Neurospora crassa OR74A: one gene and its partner. The protein of the gene in region 2 binds, or shares a complex with, the protein of the main gene of each other region. Links are inferred from orthologs where the notes say so. Each region holds a gene or a part of one and is shown on either strand. Other genes may lie near its edges. The genes, in order: cox-6 and NCU16016.

What was found.
Region 1: the proteins of NCU16016 (region 2) and cox-6 are in contact, whole or in part, in a cryo-EM structure (PDB 8DH6), measured with the Saccharomyces cerevisiae proteins. The link is inferred for Neurospora crassa OR74A from reciprocal best matches to the Saccharomyces cerevisiae genes COX1 and COX6. Residues at the interface, in NP_009305.1 of Saccharomyces cerevisiae: Asp496, Phe497, Val498, Glu499, Ser500, Ile503, Leu506, Asn507; in NP_011918.1 of Saccharomyces cerevisiae: Leu66, Phe67, Gln70, Leu73, Asn74, Arg106, Glu109, Ala110, Tyr113.

The regions. Positions count from the first base shown.
Region 1 is NC_026505.1:4,303,935-4,307,887, reverse strand, and holds cox-6 (cytochrome c oxidase polypeptide VI, variant), read right to left. Parts: upstream 2,336-3,953; 5' UTR 2,199-2,335; exon of another isoform or gene 2,085-2,198; 5' UTR 2,060-2,084; coding exon 1,899-2,059; intron 1,683-1,898; coding exon 1,637-1,682; intron 1,475-1,636; coding exon 1,357-1,474; intron 1,177-1,356; coding exon 1,055-1,176; 3' UTR 611-1,054; downstream 1-610. Other genes in the region: NCU06696 (hypothetical protein), read left to right, coding at 1-50. UniProt on the Saccharomyces cerevisiae protein: Component of the cytochrome c oxidase, the last enzyme in the mitochondrial electron transport chain which drives oxidative phosphorylation.
Region 2 is NC_026614.1:37,553-41,468, reverse strand, and holds NCU16016 (cytochrome c oxidase subunit 1), read right to left. Parts: upstream 2,202-3,916; coding exon 528-2,201; downstream 1-527. Other genes in the region: NCU16017 (hypothetical protein), read right to left, coding at 1-565; NCU16013 (cytochrome b), read right to left, coding at 3,818-3,916. UniProt on the Saccharomyces cerevisiae protein: Component of the cytochrome c oxidase, the last enzyme in the mitochondrial electron transport chain which drives oxidative phosphorylation.

The DNA of each region.
Region 1 (3,953 bases), on a different chromosome or scaffold from region 2:
GAAATGGGGGCATAAACTTTAACCCCCGGTGGGGGCACCTCCGTGATTAGGGCAAGACGAATAGGAGTTAGAACCGAACCTGGGGGTCGGAGAGCGAGATCGTTGGGTGCTTGAGAGAAGGAAAGAATGGCTCGGCTGTCGGTCGATGACTGCAGCTGTTTTCCTGGTTCGTGACCAAGGACCGAGACAAAGACAACGATTAAGATGGCTTCAGGTCAGCTTTCCTTATGTCCCTGTCAACGGTGGAATGGTTGGTGAAACGATTGTTTGCTTATTGCTTGTTACCTATTGGTCTTTTTCTTCTTCTTCTTTCTCTCCAGCCGGTAGGAATATCTTTTCACAATACCCATCTCCCTATCTTACATCTTACGGTTCATTAGATCGATTGTTTTCATTTTCTTTTGTATGGTTCAAGGTACTCAGGTTGCATTTGAGGATCGAGGGATGCACATGAAAGAGGTTGAGGCACTCGGCGCATTGGGGTTACCTTTTTCTAGATACTTACTCTACCTGCTATGGATAAAGGCAATAGAATCCAGGTAGAACCAGGCATGACAATCGTGAATCTGGTCAATCTCTTATGACGAATGGTAACCAGCATCCAGCTTTTGTAAAATCTATGGTAAACTCATTACTGCCTTTCGAATACATCTATTTTGCTGCTCTCTACGATCATGGCATGGGATATTCATCGTCCAAACACAATCCGTGACACAACCAACTGTTATCGTATCCAACTCGACAAACAGGTTGAACTCGTTCGATTCCTCTCTCTAAGGCCCTCTTGGATATACTACGCCCTTACTTCCTGCAATAGGAGTTCTCTAGGCAAAGAAACATGTATGGTACCAGGGAATTAGCGTTGAGTGCGCTCTCCTATTCATAGGTTCCAAGCACACACGCTACGCTTTCCCCTTCCACAAACTCCCCCTCCTCTCGCCACAATACTCTCATATCCCCTCTTTTCAAACTTCCAAAGATTCTGGGAGAATAATTGATGGGTCGTTGGAATGGTGATTCTCATGGCATCTTCTAAGTTACGTTGGTCCTAAATTTAGTTGGCCTCCTCGGGGTAGAGGTCCTCCTTGAGGGTGATGCCGAGCTCCTCACGAAGAGGCTTGAGCTCAGCGAGGTACTGCTCGTACTGGCCCTTGTTCTCAACCTTGGCCTTGATGCCTGTTATGACGGAAGCCCGTTGTCAGCATGGTTCTGGTTCCTAAAAGACCGTTTTGCTGTTCCCTATCCACCCGAGCTTATCGGACACCTTGGTATTGACGCATAGGCTGGTCGTCGATGGCTACGATGTGTGCGGGTTTCGGTGGCGGCAGTGATGGATGTTAGGACGGGGGCTCTTACCCTCGAAGACGCGGACAGCGGTGGGGAAGTCGTTGACGCGGCGGGCAGCCTTGAGAGCGGCGGCGAGAACGGAGGGGGAAGGGACGAGATCGTAAGCGAAAGCGTTGTTCAGGTTGCGCTAATTTCGGTATGCCAGCGTCAGTCTCACAGTCTCTTCCTTCCCTTGCCCCTACCCAACAAGTTGAATCATTGTTGTCCCTTGATCGATAATGCAAAAGGTGCGTCGTCGAGTAGGCCGTGAGAGTCGAAGTGGGACGGGAGCATGGAAGGTGGTGCATACCTGAAGCTCGAAAACATCCTGAACGGCATCAAACTCCTTCTCGTAGCTGTTGGAAAAGGCGCAAGTTAGGAATTGGGGAGTTCTCGAGGGCGCATGGAGGTGTTGATGGGGTGGCCCTGGCTGAGGCTGAGGGGAGGAGAGTCGGAGGCATCACGTCATAGTGAAGCCGAGCTAGGATAGGCAGGTAGCTAGCTCGGGCCTGGGACCTCCGGGGCTCGGAGAGGTAGCAGCTTCCCGGCCGGGCTGCCGGGGCAAAACTCACCGGGCAGTGAACTCCTCGAAGGTCTCCTCGTGGTGCTCGGAGCGGAAGCGGCTGGAGGTGCTGAAAAGGCTGACGCGGGCGGCGATGGGCTGGGGGCGGGCAACGGCGCGGAAGAGGCCGGCGGAGGGACCGCGGACGGCAGTGCGGAAGAAGGAGGCCATTGTGACGGAAGGACGGAGGGGGCTACTAGAAGATGAGAATTGAGAGCACACGGTAAGAAGCTGGAACTGCGAAGCGAGAAGACCGGGGGGGAAGAAAAGGCAAGGCGGTAATTGGCGGCGGAGACGGAGAAGCACGCACGTTACGTAGAGGGAGGTACGGTAGCTGAGATGATGGTCTCAATTAATGCTAACGAGGTTGAGGTTCGATGGTGTGCGACGTAAATGCTTGTTCAACCCAAGTGGAAGTCTCCGGTATTGCACTGCATCGGACCATTCGAATACTTCGGCTATGTCTTTTCCGGTTAGCTGACTAGCTGTGTTTTTTCCGCCCTCGAGGTACTTCTGGACAAGCCACTCGGTGGTCAGTGCACAAGCTCCCTAAGCTCACCTTTCCAATTCGTACATGAGCTTGGTATGCAATTGAACAGACAACAGCCCACTTTTCCGCACCAGTAGTGGCTGAAGTGGCTGAAACATTTCTTTAACTTCATAATGAGGCTGATGTCGAAGCAACAGAACGTGGGGTACCTATAACGCCTTCCTGCAGCGAGCCGGATAAATCGACTGTGTGCTCAGATGAATCCGCTGTGTGGAGCCCATACAAACTGACAGCCAAGACCCAAAGCTTGGCATCTCTCGCGCCAAACTTTCGCGATCGCAAGTCATCACCAAAATATCATTGTCTCGACAACGACAACGAAAGCTCAAAACGACTTTTTCTAAAGCGTTGAACTCTCATTTATATGCGGGGGCCTCTCACCGGCCCCCTGCACCCCCGGAACTAACCCTAACACCTAACCCTAACCACTAACCCTAACACTAACCTTGGGGGTAGCCCGCGAATTGCTATACAGTCGATTTATCCATCCAACACAGTCGATTTATCCGATCCGTCCTGCAGCGATGATGCAACCAGTGCGTGTTGCTCATGTCGGTCTTTCACACAATGAAGTGGTGTCTGTTGTTGCGGACATTCACTTCAACTCATCATCGTGTTGACCTTGATATCCCTCACTTTTTTTCTTAGACAATTCCCAGGATTGGGAACATTTGAACCGGCAAGCGCTGGAGATTTACGGATCAACCTATTTATCATCGGAAGAAATTGACTGCCAACCGAATGTTTTGACCGGCACATGGTCTCGTCATCTCAGGATTCACGGCTTGTACACTCGTGTATTTGTGGGTGGATGAATGATGGGCTGATCGAAAGCCAGTATGTAGTTCGGAGAGAGTAGAAAACGCGTCTTGTAGTATTGGTGGGTTGGGGTTGTTGAACAGGCGAGAGCCGCGAAACCTCAAAAAAATGGACTCGATTGAATCATTGAACAAACCGAATTTGTATACCCGCTGGTCAATGTCTTACCGTAGCACTGGGCCACCCCAGGTTGTGAGCTCAATCGCTGGAGGGCAAGCCATTCACCTTCTCTTATACGCACCGTTGGTTCGGGCTCGCCTGGGTGTTTGAACGTCCTCGTATCAATTTCCACGATATCTCTTCCTGATAACCAAGTTGTGAACGTCCTGCACTAGCTACTTCCCCAAACCTCGGCATGGACTCTACACTACTCGTTTGATCAAGAGTTAGCCCGTTGCGGCCCGACAGTTGACGCTCTGCATGATGAACGAGGTATCCGATGTAGGGGGTTGTAGCTATTTGGTGGACCTTGAACGGCCTAGAAGACTGCCCCCAAGTCTCGAGTCAATCATCGATCTCATCCGTGTTTCAACGGGCATGTTGATTTTTGGTAGGACCGACCCTTTTCGATGGAGCCCGCGTTGAGTCGCACCGGAACACTCACGAGATACGATTGATGAACCCCGATGTGAAATAGCTACACTGCAATCTCATCACGGGCTTCGCCGCGCCTCTCCACTGTCATCAATGTCATCA
Region 2 (3,916 bases):
ATGGTGTTTTTTTTTCACAAGACTCACCACCTACACCCGCAGGTAATTCAAAATCACTATAATATAGTTCTCCAAAAATTCTAGCTAAACTACCAAATAGGTACATCAAGGTTCAAAGATGAAGATCTAAAAATATTGAAGAAGCTTTAGGAGCTTCTACTCCTAAATTGGACGCTTCTACTCCTAAATTGGACTCTACTCAAATCATATTAAATAATCTTAAGCCAAAAAAAGGGAAATTTTTTACCAAATTTTGAGTAAAAAATACCAGAGTTCATATCTCCTGATCATAACAAATATATATACCTTTAACTATTAACATAGTAGGTAGAGCAAAAAAAATAAATATTTTAAACTTCTTAATCATATTCATTCAGATGGCTTTAGATATTTCAGTAATACGAGATTTAGAAGGTCAGTTCCAAATAGATGCTTGTAAATTTGAGGTCACAAAAAGGTGAGGTTTTGGTGGTGTTAAAGTTAGTTTATGAGTTAAAAATTGGATGAAAGTTAAAAGTTCAAGAAAATTAATTTTGCCTCCCACTGATTTCTTTTTGTTCCCCATATGATGATAATCTAAAAAATGATAAAAAAAATGATGAAGATTGTAATGGAAGACTCACGAATGAATGAGGTTTAGGTGGGCTACTTATAGATCATTCTAAACTAGGATAACTTCTATTTAAAAGAGCACGTAAACTATCAGTATAGAATTGTGGGATTGATCATGGATATCTACCTGCGTATTCTCCTTGAACTAGTTGTATATACACAATATATAAGAATAATCAAGAAGCTACTACACTTACGATTGACCCAAAACTACTTATTAAATTTCAACCTGAAAATGCGTCAGGGTAATCACTTATTCTTCTTGGCATACCTTGTAAACCTAAGAAATGTTGAGGGAAGAATGTTAAATTAACCCCTATGAATAAAAGTCAGAATTGAGCTTTAGATAACACCATATTATAATTTAAACCTAATATTTTAGGTACTCAGTGATATCATCCGCTAAACATTGCAAATACAGCACCCATACTTAATACATAGTGAAAATGAGCAACTACGTAATAAGTATCGTGGAATGCTATATCTAAAGATGCATTCGCTAAAACAACTCCACTTAATCCCCCAATTGTGAACATAAATACAAAACCTAAAGCAAATAACATAGAAGGAGTTAATCTAATAGAACCTCCATAACATGTAGCTAATCATGAGAATATTTTAATTCCTGTAGGAACTGCAATAATTAATGTAGCTGCTGTGAAATACGCTCTTGTATCCACGTCTAAACCAACTGTATACATATGATGACTTCAAACAATAAATCCTAATATTCCAATAGACATCATGGCGTAGACCATACCAATATAACCGAATACTGATTTATTAGAATAAGCTGATATTGTTGTACTTATTATACCAAAACCAGGTATAATTAAAATGTAAACCTCAGGATGCCCGAAGAATCAGAAAAGATGTTGGAATAAAATAGGATCACCACCACCAGCTGTTTCAAAGAATGATGTATTAAAATTTCTATCTGTTAATAGCATAGTAATTGCACCGGCCAACACGGGGAGAGATAGTAATAATAATACAGCTGTAATAACTACAGCTCATCCAAATAAAGCTAATTTGTGCAATCTAATTCCTGGTGTTCTCATATTTACTATTGTAGTTATGAAATTAATAGACCCTAATAAGGAACTAACTCCTGATAAATGTAGGGCAAAGATAGCCAAATCTACACTAGGTCCACTATGACTTTGTACACCTGATAAAGGAGGATAAATTGTTCATCCTGTACCTGCTCCACCTTCTATACATGCAGAGAATACTAATAATAGTAAACTTGGTGGTAACAGTCAGAAACTAATATTATTAAGTCTTGGGAATGCCATGTCAGGACCCCCTACTAATAATGGTAACAAGAAATTACCAAATCCACCTATTAATGCTGGCATAACCATAAAGAAAATCATTAAGATCGCATGTGCAGTTATTATAGCATTGTATAATTGATTATCTGCAATGTACTGCACCCCAGGTCCGCTTAACTCCATTCTTATTAAAACAGAAAATGCTGTTCCAAGTAACCCAGAAAATAGCGCAAAGATTAGATAAAGAACTCCTATATCTTTAGCATTCGTTGATAAAAATCATCTTTCAGTTCAAATCGAAATTGACGACATTAACCCGACACTTCTTTTACTTGAATTTAAAGAGAGCCCAAACTCCTCACTATTTAATTGATTAAATAATATAATGGTTTTTATTATAATGGTTACGTATCTTATAAATAAAAATAAAATAAGATTACAACATCTTATTGATTATACAATCAATGCTAACCAGGATATTCTGTAAACCGACCAACAGAATATCCCCGGTAACGTAATTCTGGATCACCTACGTAGGTGATTGACTGACTTACTAAAAAACACACTAGCCTTTCAATGTTTTGTGGACTTTCTTTTTTTTTTTTTTTTTAAAAAAAAAAAAAAAAAAAAAAAAGGCGGAATCACGGCTAAATCAGTATTAGAACCAACGAAGTGCCTTGCTATATTAAGTCAGCTATCCAATATTCCATTAGCCTCATGTAGTAAATTAACTTTTCTCGCTACCCTTATCCACATATCCCCCCGTCCCCCCGCCCTGCAGTACTGCAGGGGGGGGAAGGGGGATTGTGAAGAGTGGATGAGCGCCTTTGGAGGAGCGCACAAGTTATTATTATAATTCATTTTGCTCCCACTTCTAAACCCCCGCAAGCTTGCGGGGGGTTTGTTAGGAGAGCCTCCGCTACGCGAGAAAATGAAGACTTATCTTATTATTTAACCAAAATATTAAAAATATTTTGGGAGGCAATTATTTTTTAGCTTCCCCCCCTGCAGTACTGCAGGGCGGGGGGACGGCTAAAAAAATTAAGCGAAGCTCGCCTCCAAAATATGTAGGTAGTGTATATAAAAAAAAAAAGAAATATTTCTTTACCGGTTTATTTCTTCATAATACATATTTTGTTAAGGCGGGCGAAGCTTGCCTCAGAATCACTCCGCCTTTTCTACAACATCAGTTAAGATACTACTTAGTATCTTATATTCCTTTGTAGCCTACAAGAGAAGATTTAGTTTGTATATTTTAGGGGCTAGCGAAGCTCGCCTCCAAACTAAACTAAACCTAAATTTATTTTACATACAAATAATAAATCGAGCCGCGAGGCGTCTTTTTATCATATATTTTTAAAAACAAAAACAAATATATGTTTTAGTGCTTAAATATTATTATTATGTACTACCCCCATATTATTTAAGCCCTAAATACAGATAATTACTCCCCTTATAGAATTATTTTTTTTTTTTCATTAAGATAGTTAGTAAATTTATTAAATTTGCGGGCAGCTTGCTTCATTTTTTTTTGGGCTGGCGCTTATTTTTTTTAGCTTCCCCCCCCTGCAGTACTGCAGGGCGGGGGGACGGCTAAAAAAAATTAAGCTAGCCTCAAAAAAATTGGCTATAGGCTAACCCTAAAGGATTACGTAGGAATCGAACCTAATCCTTAAGATTTGCAGTCAAAGGGTAAACCATTTACATCGTAATCCTGATCCCTTGCTAAGATCAAATAATTATTTACGGCCTCCTCCGTTTCCCTCCACCCCCCCCCTGCAGTACTGCAGGGCGGGGGGACGGCTAAAAAAAAAATTAAGCGAAGCTCGCCTCGAGAAGTGGAAGGGAGGAAGGTAGGAAAGCTCGCCTCAAAAAAAACCAAATTAGCAAAGCTAAAAAAAATTTTTTTTAGCTTTGCTAAAAAAATCTTATTTCAAGTAGTTGAGATCTACAAGAGTATTCTCAATTAAACTAAGCACAGGTACTATAAATATAAAGTAACTGAAATAAAAGATTGTACTAAATTG